2 linked regions of the Callithrix jacchus genome follow. The protein of the gene in region 2 interacts with the protein of the main gene of each other region in a pairwise test. Links are inferred from orthologs where the notes say so. Each region holds a gene or a part of one and is shown on either strand. Other genes may lie near its edges.

Evidence for each region.
Region 1: the proteins of TPP2 (region 2) and PPP1R16A interact in binary tests that used the Homo sapiens proteins (3 or more experiments, as listed by UniProt). The two-hybrid records come from large-scale screens. The link is inferred for Callithrix jacchus from reciprocal best matches to the Homo sapiens genes TPP2 and PPP1R16A.

The regions. Positions count from the first base shown.
Region 1 is NC_133517.1:53,153,824-53,161,498, forward strand, and holds the start of PPP1R16A (protein phosphatase 1 regulatory subunit 16A), read right to left. Parts: upstream 4,565-7,675; 5' UTR 4,403-4,564; intron 1-4,402. Other genes in the region: FOXH1 (forkhead box protein H1), read left to right, coding at 6,433-6,606, 7,009-7,113, 7,201-7,675. UniProt on the Homo sapiens protein: Inhibits protein phosphatase 1 activity toward phosphorylase, myosin light chain and myosin substrates.
Region 2 is NC_133502.1:18,331,368-18,338,343, reverse strand, and holds part of TPP2 (tripeptidyl-peptidase 2), read right to left. Parts: intron 6,697-6,976; coding exon 6,590-6,696; intron 4,079-6,589; coding exon 3,924-4,078; intron 2,768-3,923; coding exon 2,651-2,767; intron 2,414-2,650; coding exon 2,313-2,413; intron 1,058-2,312; coding exon 961-1,057; intron 482-960; coding exon 344-481; intron 1-343. UniProt on the Homo sapiens protein: Cytosolic tripeptidyl-peptidase that releases N-terminal tripeptides from polypeptides and is a component of the proteolytic cascade acting downstream of the 26S proteasome in the ubiquitin-proteasome pathway.

The DNA of each region.
Region 1 (7,675 bases), on a different chromosome or scaffold from region 2:
AGTCCCAGTTACTCGAGAGGCTGAGGCTGCAGAATCACCTGACCTGCAAGGTGGAAGGTGGAGGCTGCAGTGAGCCGAGGGTCCCACTGCACTCCAGATACTCAGAGATCTTCTGGGCAACAGAGCAAGACTCTGTCTCAAAAGTAACAAAAAATTTTAGTGTTCATAAAGAAAGTCTTGCTGTCAGGTCGGGCGTGGTGGTTCAAGCCTATAATCCCAGCACTTTGGGAGGCCGAGGCGGGTGGATCACGAGGTCAAGAGATCGAGACCATCCTGGTCAACAAGGTGAAACCCCATCTCTACTAAAAATACAAACATTAGCTGGGCATGGTGGCACGTGCCTGTAGTCCCAGCTACTCGGGAGGCCAAGGCAGAAGAATTGCTTGAACCCAGGAGGCAGAGGTTGCGGTGAGCTGAGATCGTGCCATTGCACTCCAGTCTGGGTAACAACAGCGAAACTCTGTCTCAAAAAAAAAAGAAAGAAAGAAAGTCTTGTTGCAACATAGTTCTTTCACCTACATATTATCTGTGGCTGCTTTTTTACAAAATGGCAGATTTGTGGAGTTTTGATAGATACCACAAGGTCAGGACAGGTGCAGTGGCTCACACCTGTAATCCCAGCAGTTTGGCAGGCCGAGGTAGGCGGATCACAAGGCCAGGAGTTCCAGACTGGCCTGGCCAATATGGTGAAACCCTTTCTCTACTAAAAATACAAAAATTAGCCAGGCATGGTGGCACATGCCTGTAGTCGCAGCTACTCGGGAGGCTGAGGCAGGAGAATCAATTGAACCCAGGAGGTGGAGGTTGTAGTGAGCCGAGATCCCACTACTGCACTCCACCTTGGGCAAAAGAGAGACTCCGTATTTTTTTTTTTTTTTTTTTTGAGACAGAGTCTCACTCCGTCACCAAGCGCCAGGCTGGAGTGGAGTGGCATAACCTCGGCTCACTGCAACCTCTGCCTCCCGGGTTCAAGCAATTCTCCTGCCTCGGCCTCCTGAGTAGCTGGGACTACAGGCACATGCCACCATGCCCAGCTAATTTTTTTGTATTTTTAGTAGAGATGGGGTTTCACCATGTTGGCCAGGTTGGTCTCAATCTCTTGACCTCGTGATCCGCCCGCCTTGGCCTCCCAAAGTGCTGGGATTACAGGCGTGAGCCACCGTGCCAGGCAAGACTCCATCTTAAAAAACAAACAAACAAAAACGCCAAGCATAGTGGCTCACGCCTGTAATCCCAGCACTTTGGGAGGCCGAGGAGGGTGGATCACAAGGCCAGGAGTTCAAGACCGCCCTGGCCAATATGGCAAAACCCTGTCTCTACTAAAAATACAAAAATTAGCTGGGCGTGGTGGCACATGCCTGTAGTCCCGGCTACTCAAGGGGCTGAGGCAGAAAAATTGCTTCAACCTGGGAGCTGGAGGTTGCAGTGAGCCAAGATCGCGCCACTGGAGTCCAGCCTGGGAGACAAAGGAAGACTCCATCTCAAAAAAAAAAAAAAAAAAAGACTGGATGTGTGGCTCATGCCTGTAATGCCAGCACTTTGGGAGGCCGAGTTGGGCAGATCACCTGAGGTTGGGAGTTCGAGACCAGGCTGGACAACATGGAGAAACCCCGGCTCTACTAAAAATAGAAAAAAATTAGCCAATTGTGGTGATGCCTGTAGTCCAAGCTACTCGGGAGGCTAAGGTAGGAGAATCGCTTGAACCCAGGAATTGGAGGTTGCAGTGAGTGGAGATCACACCACTGCATTCCAGCCTGGGTGACAGAGGGAGACTCCATATCAAAAAGAAAAAGGAGGTCGGGTGAGGTGGCTCACACCTGTAATCCCAGCACTTTGGGAGGCCGAGGAGGGTGGATCACAAGGCCAGGAGTTCAAGACCGCCCTGGCCAACATGGTGAAACCCCATCTCTACTAAAAGTACAAAAATTAGCTGGGCGTGGTGACACACGCCTGTCGTCCCAGCTACTAGGGAGGCTAAGGCAGAAGAATCGCTTGAACCTGGGAGACAGAGGTTGAAATGGCCTGAGATTGTGACACTGCACTCCAGCCTGGTGACAGAGCGAGACTCTGTCTCAAAAAATAGAAAACAGATAAAAAATTAGCTGGCATGGTGGCATGCACCTATAATCCCAGTTACTGGGGAGGCCGAGGCAGGAGAATCATTTGAACCCAGGAGACAGAGGTTACAGTGAGCGGAGATCGCGCACTACACTCCAGTCCGGGCAACAGAATGAGCCTCAATCTCAAACAAACAAAAAGTCAGAAAGCACATGGTTAGCAAAGCCTAAGATGTTTACTACCTAGCCCTTGACAGAAGAAGCTGGCCAACCCCTGATCTAACACATTTATTTGGTGCTACCAGCTTCATCATCACCCCCACCTTCATCAGCTGCTCCTTCTGTCTGGAAAGTTCTTCCACCAGATCTTAGGATAGCGTGTTCCTTCTTGGGACTTAGATAACATCTGAAGTGTGACCTCCTCAGAGTTCTTCTGTGGTTACCTTGTTATTCTCTTACCTCATTGCCCTGTTTTAATTCTTGACACGTCACTTACTGTTTGTTTACCTGCTGCATCCTCAGAACCTGACTCACAGGAAGCACTCACACTCAGTAACTGCAATGGGCTGAACAGGTGAACAGCTGCTGAGCCTGTGGTCCAGGGGTCCCAGCACCAGATGTGACATGGGAGGCTCTGAGCTCATAGCTGAGCAAGTCTGATGAAAAGGCCTCACTTAGGTGTGCGTGCACCAGTGCCAGCAGAGCCTCGGCATGAGAGAGAGAAGAACCTGGAACTGCCACCCAGTTTTCATTTTTGCGAACGAATAGATGTGGCACAGTGCTAGGGCAGGACACACTGGGGGCAGAACAAGGGTGGAGCTGGGGGTCTGGTGTAATCTGTGGGATCAGCTGAGACTGAGGTTCCTAAGCTACAGGCAGTGGAGAGTTGTATCAATTGGCTGCTTATTTAGACCAGAGGTTCAAGAACCCCCAGGACATAGACCCCCAAAGTGAAGACATACAGGAGGAGCCCCCTTGCTAGGTACTTGCTAACCCAGGCAACCCTCGGGGCAAAATGGAGTGCAGATACATCCCAAGCAGGTGAGGGATAAGGCCAGGACAGGGCAATCAAGAGACAGGAGGGATGGTCCCAACCAACAGGGAGGAAATCCAGCTCAAACACCAGGAGGGGAAAGGACCCCTAAGGCCTCCACCATCCCATCTCAAGGCTGGGAGACTTGGGGCAGGGGCAGGCAGCTAGCCCTGCAGAGCTCTGAAGGTCCACCACAGGGACACGCATGGAGTCAGCCGGTGTGCAGGTCTACTAGGCAGCCCCCAGCTCCTCAGGCAACCCAGCCCCACGCCGCCTGAGCTCCTCTGGGACAGTCGTGGCTCTGGATCCCCGAGGTGAATCAGGCAGCGCTGCCAAAGGCCTCTTCAGGAGGCCCAGGGTACTGCAGGCAAGACCCTTTTCCCAGGGAAAGCCCAATATGACCAGGAAGCAACTGGGGCACCAAGACGCCCAGGAGGGCTCACTGCTGAGCTAGACACGCTTTGAAAAAGGCAGCGGTACCCCCGCCTCCACTTCCACCCCCAAGTAGGGATACAGGATGAAAAGGAAGGCACAGAGCTTTGGGGAGGGCCAGCTTTGCTCTGGCTCCCCTAAGCCTAGAGTGACTCTGTACACACCCGTCTCTGCACCCATGGAAATTAATCCCGTCGTGCCCGGGGCCTCCGCTCTGATACAGACAGGGGCCCACACCAGTCCTGGACACTCCTTCCCAGGCGGGGTGCTTGCTTAGTTAATTCTTGCCCTGATCCCATTTCCTGAGGGGTGGCCCGGGTGCCCAGCACTGCAAGTGAGGTCACTTTAATCCCCGAAAGCTGAAGGAACTTCCTTCAGAGAGACTCCACTTTCTCCTTCAGCCTAGCTCCAAAGCCCCCACAAAGCTTGGGTAAGTCCCTTCTCTGTGGCCTTGATTTCCTGATCTGAAAATGTAGATAATTCCGGAGTTGTCTACTTGACCGGCAGGCTGCGGAGAATCCACACACCTTTACCTTGGAACAAAATGCGAAGCAGCCTCCAGCTCCCAGCCTTTCCTGTCCCTTGGCACCTGCTGCCGTGGGACTCAGCCAGCAACGCCCAAGGCGGCCAGGTGGGACCTGTGCCCTGGGCGCCCGCGTGACGGCAGCCGCGTCTCCCGAGGGCCCCTCCCTGGCCTCCTCCCTCCGCAGCCTCCTCTCTCCCCTGGGCTTCCTCCTCCCTCCCTCCCCTGAGCCTCATCCTTCCCCGGCCCGGCCCCCTCTCTCGATGTCGACCCAGTGCCCATTCTTCCGCTGTGCCCAGCCGGGGACCCTCTCCCTCGCTCCGCTCTCGTCACAGGACCCGGGACTCCGCGCCTCACCTCGCGCCCCGCACCGGCCGCCGCGCAAGTGGGTCCGCTGGCTTCCGCGGGTCAGTGGGCCCCGCGCTCCCAAAGGTGCTGCGGGGGCGGGCCCCGCGCCCGGCCCTCGCCATGGCAACGCTACACTTCCGGCCCGCATTACCTGTAGCCGGAAGCCGCAGTGCCCCGTGGGAGCCGGGGGCGGGGACTGGGGGGGAGGGACATCGGGGGCGGGGTCTGGGGAGGGACATCAGGGGCGGTGCCTGAGGAGGGACGATCAGGGGATGCGGCTGCCGGGGTCCGCTGCGGGCGGCCAGGCGATCCTTCTGCGGCTGCGACCTCCTCGGGCCTTGGGTGAGACGGCGAGCGCTCAAAGGCTCCTGGGACTGTGGTGGAAAAAAAACGAGTCATCGTTGGCAACCGGATGGACGCCGGCGGAATGAGTGGCAGTTTTGGGGGTGTTTCAGCCCGGGACACTGAGGTCGGAGAGGAGCGGTCGGAACTTGGGGAGCCTCCAGCGCCCCACCAAGGAGGCGCCAGTGGAGAGGGGTTCCTTAAGACTTAAGGGAAAGGCCCAGCGAGGTGGCTCACGTCTGTGATCCCAGCACTTTGGGAGGAGGCTGAGGCCGGTGGGTCGCTTGAGCCCAGGAGACCAACCTGGGCAACACAGGGAGGCCTTGTCCCTACCAAAAAGTGAGAAATTAGCCGGGCGCTATGGCGCACACCTGTAGTCCCGGGAGGCTTAGGCGGGAGGATCGCTTGAGCCCAGGAGGTGGAGGCTGCACTGAGCCCAGATGACACTACTGCACTCCAGCCTGGGCAATGGAGCGAGACCTTGTCTCAAAACAACAACAAAGACTTGTGGGAAAGAACGACGCCTTGCTGACCGAATGGGGTAAGAGGCCACGAGTATTTCGCCTCCCGAGATTCAGGACTTTGCAACCTTAGCCTAGGGAACACACCAGAGAAGGCCTCAGCGTCGAGGTGATAACCGGAGTCCTGAGGGAAACAACAAGAGGTCCGAGGGGTGTGGCGGAGATAGAGGGAAAAGGGTGGCACCCCACAGAAAAGGCTCGGTCCAGCCCAGGCTCCTCCTCCAGGACACCCGCTGCCAGTCCCTCCCCTCCACACCTTGGGATGGGCTGGGCTCCACCATATACTTCAGATTTTCAGCCTTTTGAGGTGATCATGGTGAGGGCTGAACAAGAAAAGCTGAATTCTCAGAGAGAGCAAAAGCGTATTCCTGGGCCCCCATGTGTCCAGGGGCCCTTAGCTCTGCTGCCAGCACCAACCCCTGCTGCTAGTGCCCAGAGCTACTGTCCTCTTGGGCAAACTTGCCCCTTGTGAGGGAAGAGAACCTGGGATTTGGGGCAGAGTACCTAACACCAGCCTTGCTCGGACGGAGGGGCAGAGACGCTGATCAGATGGCTAGGGAGGAGGAGGTGGCGGGTCCGCCTGGACTCCTGAAGCAGCTCCCAGGAAATCACTTGAGTCCAAGTTTCCCTTTTGTTCCTGGGGTGGGAACTTCGTGGCCTTCTCCTCCCGAAAGCCCCACCCGATCATGTCCTGGGTAGGTATCTAGCCCTCATAGCCTACTAGCTGCTAGGTCTTGAACTCTGGGGACACTCTTCCTTGGGAGCTTAGCATGGGCTAATTACTCCCCCATCTGTTCAGTGGGGTCCTGTGACCCGGCCAGGGAAGGCGGGATAAAATAGTCATGTATCATGACAGACCCTTCGAAGAGGAGCCTGGCCACCCAAAGGCAGCTCAGGGGTGGAGACTAAGGCCTCAGGAGAAGCACCCACTAGAATCCTCTCTGCCCCTCCCTTCCAGATTAACCAAAACCTGCTAATTGTGGCAGCCCTCGGCAGGCTCCCCTCCCCCACAGCCTCTTCCTCCCTTCCCTCCCCTCCCCTTTCCATCCGAATGATAAAGGGCCCAGCCAGCCAGCCCCCACCCGGCCTCAGGCCCTGGCCCTGCCTCCCACACTGCCCCACTGCCCTGAGCCATCCACCAGGCCAGGCCCCTGCCCACACTGTCTACGGTCCTGCATGGGGCCCCGCAGCGGCTCCCGCCTGCGGCCCCCAGAGGCAGAGTCGCCCTCCCAGCCCCCCAAGAGGAGGAAGAAGAGGTACCTGCGACATGACAAGCCCCCTTACACCTACTTGGCCATGATTGCCTTGGTGATTCAGGCGGCACCCTCCCGCAGGCTGAAGCTGGCCCAGGTGAGATGGCCCTGGCCCCTACTCTCCCTTGCACTCCGAGGCTGGACTTTTCCCCAGACCCATTCCCGACCTACTTCCAGGCTCAAGCCCTGACCCCCACCCCTTCCTAGCCCACCCAGCCAATAGGACCAGTCCTGAGAACCGAGGGCCCTGAGGCATGACCCTTCTCCGGGAGCCCCCGTCCCCTCTGTCGTCCTTTGGTGTAAAATGTTCTTTGGGGAGAACGGGGGCCAACACCCTTGCACCTCTGAGCCCAGTAAGGGGGGAGGGGTGGGACACTGCCCCTTCCCCATCCGGGCTCACCGTGCTGGCCACCTCTGAGCCCAGTAGGAGGGGAGGGATGGGACACTGCCCCTTCCCCATCCGGGCTCACCGTGCTGGCCGGCCACCCGGCGGCTTCAGATCATCCGTCAGGTCCAGGCGGTGTTCCCTTTCTTCAGGGAAGACTACGAGGGCTGGAAGGACTCCATCCGCCACAACCTTTCCTCCAACCGATGCTTCCGAAAGGTGGGGCAGGGCGGGGGCGGGGCGCACGAGGAAGTCCTGAGCATCCAGGGTCGGGCAGCCCCACCCATGTCTGATCCCCACACCCAGGTGCCCAAGGACCCTGCAAAGCCCCAGGCCAAGGGCAACTTCTGGGCGGTCGATGTGAGCCTGATCCCAGCCGAGGCGCTACGGCTGCAGAACACGGCCCTGTGCCGGCGCTGGCAGAACGGGGGTGCGAGAGGAGCCTTCCCCAAGGACCTGGGCCCCTACGTGCTGCATGGCCGGCCCTATCGGCCTCCCAGTCCCCTGCCGCCACCCAGCGAGGGCTTCAACATCAAGTCCCTGCTAGGGGGCTCCCAGGAGGGGGCACCCTGGCCGGGGCTAGCTCCACAGAGCAGCCCAGTTCCTACAGGCATGGAGAATAGTGGGGAAGGGGCTGTGCCTACCCCACCCATGCTCTCCTCTGAGAGGCCTCTGTGGCCCCTCTGCCCCCTTCCGGGCCCCACGAGAGTGGAGGGGGAGGCTTCCCAGGGGGGATCCATTGGGCCCTGTACCCTCTCCCCAGATCCTAGGCCCTGGCCTC
Region 2 (6,976 bases):
CTCACCTATCTTTGATGTATGCTTTGATGATTTTCCCTTCAGATAGGCAGACTCAGTGTGCAGGAAGGAGAAACACTACACACTAGAAGAAGTTATACTGACCAGTGTCTGCAAACTTCACGCTTGTCCTCTAATTCAGCACAACTATGTGGTGAAAAAGTTGACACAACCTATTCTTCACCAACTACAACAAACAACAGCTTCTCATGGTTTGCAAAAGTACTAAATGCAAAGTTATGGAGTTTTTTTTTTAAGTATGAACATTACCATAACAAGAAACCAAGATTTTGTTAGTTCAGAAAACAGCTCCTGTTAATTCTAAAAATCACCATCAATTTTATACCTGATGTGGATAGGCGTCGCCTGAACCCATCTGTCTTTTGTTCTGGTCAAAAATAATCCACAGTTGGCTGTCAAATTCAGATTCATATAATAGTTCACAAAGTAATGGGCAGCTTGGAGTTACTTCCCCACTCTTGGGCTATAAAAAAAAGTACTTGGCATGATTTGCATATAATTTCTGATACAAATTTTTAATATTGCTATTGACATGAGACTTTCATTAAAAAAATACTAAAAATAGTTGTGGTAAAATTTTTGAAAATACAGAACATAGAGTGTTTTGGCACTCATAAAATTCACTGCTCTCTTACCACCATCAGAAGGCAGAGGTATTTCTGAGGCATCTAATAACCCCTGGGTCACCACTAGACATCAGTGATTTTATAAACTAAGGCTCAAGGTTTGGTCACCACTCAATTACATTTTAAGGCTTTAATACTAAATGGTACTTTATTACAAATTATAATTTCCTAAAGAGTAATTTCAAATTAACCAATGTTAATTGATTCTGTTTCACATATATACCATATACACTATCCTTCCATTTTTGACTTTATGAATCATAAATAAAACACAAAAGTTCATCCTAAGGGTATAATTTTCTAGGCAAACACTTACTTGATGAAAGTTGTATGTCAGGACCATCTCATACAGTTGACGGTTATTTGGCAAAACATCTCTTGATCCTAAAGGTTTTGTTTTTGCACTCACTGGGCTGTAATGAGAAAACTACATAACTAATTTGATTCAAGAGTTCATCAAATGAGACAAAACCATAAGCAACAAAATTTGTAACCTATTGCAGAAAGTGACAGATGAGCCTTCCTGAGAGCTATCCTTTTCAGTATATTCTACAATATTTTATTCCTTAACTTACATAATTATTTGATTGTATCATATAAATACATAGTTTAAATATTGCAATAAATATTACAAAGGCAATCTTTTCATGACAAAAACATTTTCAAATGTCAACAAATAGCTCTTAACACAACCAAATCCCAACCCTAGGGTGACAACTCTAGAGGCACTGCAGGACAGGTTCTGATTTGGACCCCTTGTGCAAACTGTTGACAGTGCTGGATTGTGCACAGCACGGACCACCCCAGGTCCCTGCTGCTCACCACAGTGGAGCAAGGGCCACACTCAGCCCTCCTCCTGGTCAAGGGAATGGTATTTCATATTCTTAGTAGTCCTCTGAAGCAAGTTACTAACATACAGGTTTTATAAAGGAAAAAACTGGCACTGAAGAGTAAGTTTTAAATATAGTTTACAATGTCAGTGAAATATAGTTACTCCTTTAAATTTAGCTCCAATTTTTGAGATTTAGGAAGAAGACATTAAGACGATATAAGTTGGATATACCTTCAAAAGCTGGAGGTTTTAATTTGTATTGATAATTCTAGGAGGCAGTATATCTTTAGGCATTACTGTGTCACTGACTCTTGTCCCTAATTGGTTATTTCAATGCACTTATGACTAGGCTTCATGCTGATGAGTTAAGGTCAGACTAAACAATAGAAAGCAGGTATCTTTATGACACAGTGAGTGTGTGAACACAGGTCAAGGTGCCCTGGTTTTCTAAGGGGACGTGCTGAGGCACAAAAGCAGACTATAGTACTTAAGTTTCTACCACTCAATAAAAACGTCAATATTGCAGCTTCTAAAAATGATTGCATTAGGATTCACAAAATAATCAGAAAGAATGTTAACTTGCTATTTTATGGCAAGAAATAAAAAGGTTAACGTCCACTGATCCGAACTAGTCATGACCATCTCTGACTTTGCTGCTCAGGTGGGACAGTGAAGCTAGAAGCTGATACTGGGGCTGCCTTGCAGAGATCTGCAAGGATAAAATTCTTACCACTAGCATGCTTGTTGATTTTTTTTAAAAAAGTCTCCTTTATAAGAGGGTAAGAGATCCCCCATCTATATTCAATATTTGTAGCCCCTAAAACATTGAATGATACCGTAGTGTTTGGACCCAGCTCTTCAAAGTTATGCAGGGAGCCAGATCTTCGTATTTCAAGGAGGACTGAACATCGAAACGGTTGATTCCTTCCGATGCATGCTACAAAAGGTATTTATCAAATTACTTTCTCAAACTTTAGTAACAATAAGCAATATTTTGTACCTAAAATAAATGTGTCCAATATAAAGTTTATAAGTACCCACACACAAAGACGACTGTTATTTTCAGAACCATAGGTAATTTCCCTTATTAAAGTTTACATCTCACCAATGAAATTATTCTCCAGTAACACAAGTAACGGACATTAAAAATCACAGAAAATGTTGTGGAACTTACAATGTTTAACTGAGGAGCAGTACACACTATCCCATGGAAAGAAATGGTATAATCAATGTTGACATCACTGAGACTTGCCCACCAACGAGCAATGCAAAATTCAATCGCTTTTCCACCCTGCAAATAAAAGTAAATAAAATATCTTTTTTTTCTCAAATTACAGAATATAAATACTAGCTGTTTCAGAGCAATTCTGTTTTCAAACTTTTCCTGTTTGTAGCAAAAAAACTTGAAAACCTTTTAACTGCTATGCTAAGAGTTAGACAAATCATTTGCAGAGATATGGTGCAGATATTTAAATATACATAGTTATTTACTCATAATCCTATGCTTCTTAAAAGCATATGTCATAAAAGGTCCTAGACAGTTTCTGAAAGCAGACAAAAGTAAATGTGCTTTTCTTATTTCAAAGTGGAATAAAAAATTAGGGTCAAAAGAAAAATAATCAAGAATAATGACACAAGAAAGATACAACTTTGTAAGGCATATTCAATAGGCACAGTTGAGTTTGGGCTCACAGCTACTTGGCAACCAAAACGAAATGATGTTACACTCATTTACATCTTTCTCCCTTCTAAAAAATAAACATAAGGGGAAAAAAACCTGCGGTTAGCACTGAGTTTTTAATTAAGTTTTCTAGTAATCAGTGAATTTAAAAGTTTAAAAAGATGGGATCATGTAATACTGATCCATGGAAGAACACAAATTAAAATAACCAGAAACAAAGAGATACTGGGAAAATCCCGCAACCATCTGAAAACACAAAGGAGCGAGTTGAAGGAAGAACGTCAGTACTTTCACCTTCCATGGAAGAAGGGCTAGTCATTTCCATCACCACAGACAAGAATGCAGATCTGCCATCATTTGAGATAACTCAGACATGAAGCAGTAGCAGTTTCCCTATAATGCAAATTAGCCTCATAGCTTCCTAACAACCTGGCATTAGTAAAATAAATTAAGTGGCATGCAAACAAGTCTTCAAGGAATAATCTAAATCAGGATCCAAACTACAAGGCACCAGAATCTACCAGACAAGTATGTTTTTTTCACTACACTACTCAAGAATTAAAGTGATGAATATTTACCTCCAACTTGGTTTCAAGGACCCTAATTCGATTTTCTATCTTCCTATTTCATTTTTATAGCATTAAAAAAATACACAATTCCAGTGTGCTTAATACAAACCATAAAATCAAATACAAATACCTAGTCTTAGCCCATACCGAAAAGGTAAATAAATTGTTTAAGGATTATAAACTGTAATTAAACTCACTAGGACAGGAAAAGCTTCAGTCAGTGTTCCTTTCTCTGGAAGAGAACAAAACTTATAGAATTCATGGCTTCGATATGCTCTTTGCTTCACAAGCTGGACTGCATGAAGAACAAACTTTGCTGACACCTCAGAAGAACACGAACACACTGTCACTTCTAAAATAGGAAGGAAAGAAGCAAAGCTTTAAACTTGTAAGACCTAAAATTGGCATAAAGTGGCTTGAATAATTCCCATTTAGGGAATTAATAGGGATCAAAATAAAATGACACACTCAAATGAAATCTGCATATATTTCCTTAAAAACAAACAATCAACGAAATATTAATAAAGTTAGAAGGGCAGATTTTCTATGGGAAAGAAAGAAACTGGTGTTAAAAAGAACCACTATGATGCTGCGAACACCGAGAAACAGCAAATTGTCATAGACGCACACGCAACTATACTACTCGGGCACTGTCTAAAATCTCTCCTTGTTTCAGCTGAAAACCTATCAATTCCTGATCAAGGAAGGAAGGTTATATTTTTGGAAACCTCTATTTGTTATCATGCCTCAGTTCCTCACTGGTAACTTTTCCTAATCTCTCCTTTTGGTCCACTTGTGTGCTGTGTGCTTCTGCAAAGCCTGACAGGACTACACATGCTTAACTTTACTCTGAGGCAGTGCTGGAGGTAAGTCACAATTACTGCAGTGCCGGATTGGAAGGTTCTCTAAAGAACAGCTAAACGAATCCAAGGGAACTAAAGCAAGGAACAATCCCACGGTTCACAAAACCAAGTGGGCACAGAGCTCTCAGAACCTAGTCAGTTGCTAAGAACACAAAATCTAGTGTTATGACAATATTTCTAATTATTTGAAATAAAACTAAGACTGCTAAATGCTCTGAACTACTTGCATTTGGGTCATTTGATAATTTTTATTTAAAAAACAAATTATTTTCAATACCAACCTAAACCAATCATAATCAGGGCATTATAATGACTGCCATTTATCACTAAACAAATACCCAATTCAGTATTAATTACTCATAGCTTTGTATTCTTTAATTTACAGTGCACATTTCACCAGAGCCTGGAGCTGTATAACTCCAAGGGACCTGGTGAGACTGGTATCCCAGAACAGTTCAACGCAGCAACTCCTGACTCCACCCCGCAAAAGTACTGTCAAGTTTCAGTATAATCCCAAAGAAGACAAGTTATGTACCAAGTACTCTATAACATCTCTAATCCTTACAACAGACTAAAAACTATATTTATAGTTGAAATAGAAGTTCAGATCATTTAGAAACCTGACCCAGGTAAACATTAGTGTATGGCAGAGTGTGGATCTGAACCCAGACCTCTCAGTTTCCAAAGCCTGTGCCTTGCTGCTACTCCATACTGCCTCCCTCTAATCCAATTTTCTTAACTCAGTATCTTGGACTAGATGTTCCTAAGGCCTCTGGAAGCAGGGTCCTTGTCTAAGCAGCTCACCACCTTAGCCCAGTGAAAAGGTCCTGGCATACAGATGCTTATGAATGAGTCTAGTACAACCCCTGATAATCCTCAGAAGCCTCTCAATGCTGCAACAGCTCCATATAATCCAGTGTGTAAATTAACAGGCTATATTGGGTGCTGTTTAATTCATTGCTTTAGCTCTCAGCTTTTGCTATTATTTTGCCCTTACCTAGTTCCATAAAACAAGAAAAGTCTTGCATTTCCTGTGATACCAGGTGACAGACAGACTGCATACAGATAGATGACCAGAAGATGGTATGAAGAACCGAATACAACCAGCTCTTTCCAAACCAGGTTACACATGTGTGATTCCAATATTTCATTTTAAATCAAGTCTTAGATGTAAATATATCTGTACTTTCAAAATAGTATAGAAAACACACTCCCAAGTGAAATATAAGCCATTTTTACTAACAACACCTATCTACCTTATAGGGTTCTGATGGGACTAGACAAGATAATCTCTATAAAGTGCTTAGCAGAGGGGCCAAATCCAAGAAGTATCAATAATGCTGGCTACTAATTTAAATTGGGTGACACTTTCTTGACTGCCCATATTTGCCTTCTTTGAGTGAGCTTTGACAGCTGACATACCACCCCCCTCCCCATAGTGACTGCTAAATTGTAAATTTAGGACATATAAATTATGAAGGAAAATATGGTATTACCCATAGCTCTTGCATAAAAGAATGACATGAGCACTCTCATAGGACTGTAACATGTTAATTCAAGAGCACTGTTTTAGGCAATCATTTACCCTCAAAATTTCAGAGACACTGAAGTGAAAATCTTTTATAAGCTTCTAATTTGATTATAGAACTTTAAATTAAAGCTCTATTTCTAAAATTCTAAGAGTTTAACGGTTTGAGGTTTAAGCAACAGCTGCATTTAAACTGATTTTTAAAAAATCATTACCTGATAAGGCATTATTCTAAACTAAGCTCAAATCTTAAATATTAAAGAGATCTTAAGGTGCCCTAATTTGCTGTATGAGCCAATGCAAAATAGTACTAGATCTTAAAACGTTTTGAACTTTATAGAAAATCTAAGGTGCCCAAATACGTATAGTAGTATCAGGGAAATATATGTTACAGATAAATGAACCTCACATAGTTACAGTCATCAGAATGCAAACAGAGATAAGTGGGCACGCAGATTTTAACGTTACCTACCAGCCCATGTTGCACCCTCAGGAACCTCAATAAAATGCCTTCGAATCTGACCAGGTTTAAAGTGTACATCTGTAAAGGCTAGATCATAATGTGATGACTCATTTACTCTGAAAATTAATAAAAGTAAATAATTAAATGTAACACTTTCTTAAAAATTTTATATTTATAATAAAACCACAGAAACTCGATTTTATTGGATAAATGCAAAATAACAGTTCATTAGAAAGAAACACAGGGACTTAAAAGTTGGTTACAAAACAGCAGGTATAATATTATCCAATTTTTGCAGTAGGTTAGCAGAGATAACCTCTGAATAGCAGAGTATAGATGATTCTACTTTTTGTCTATTTCATGATTTTAAGATACATTCATACACACTATTAAAAA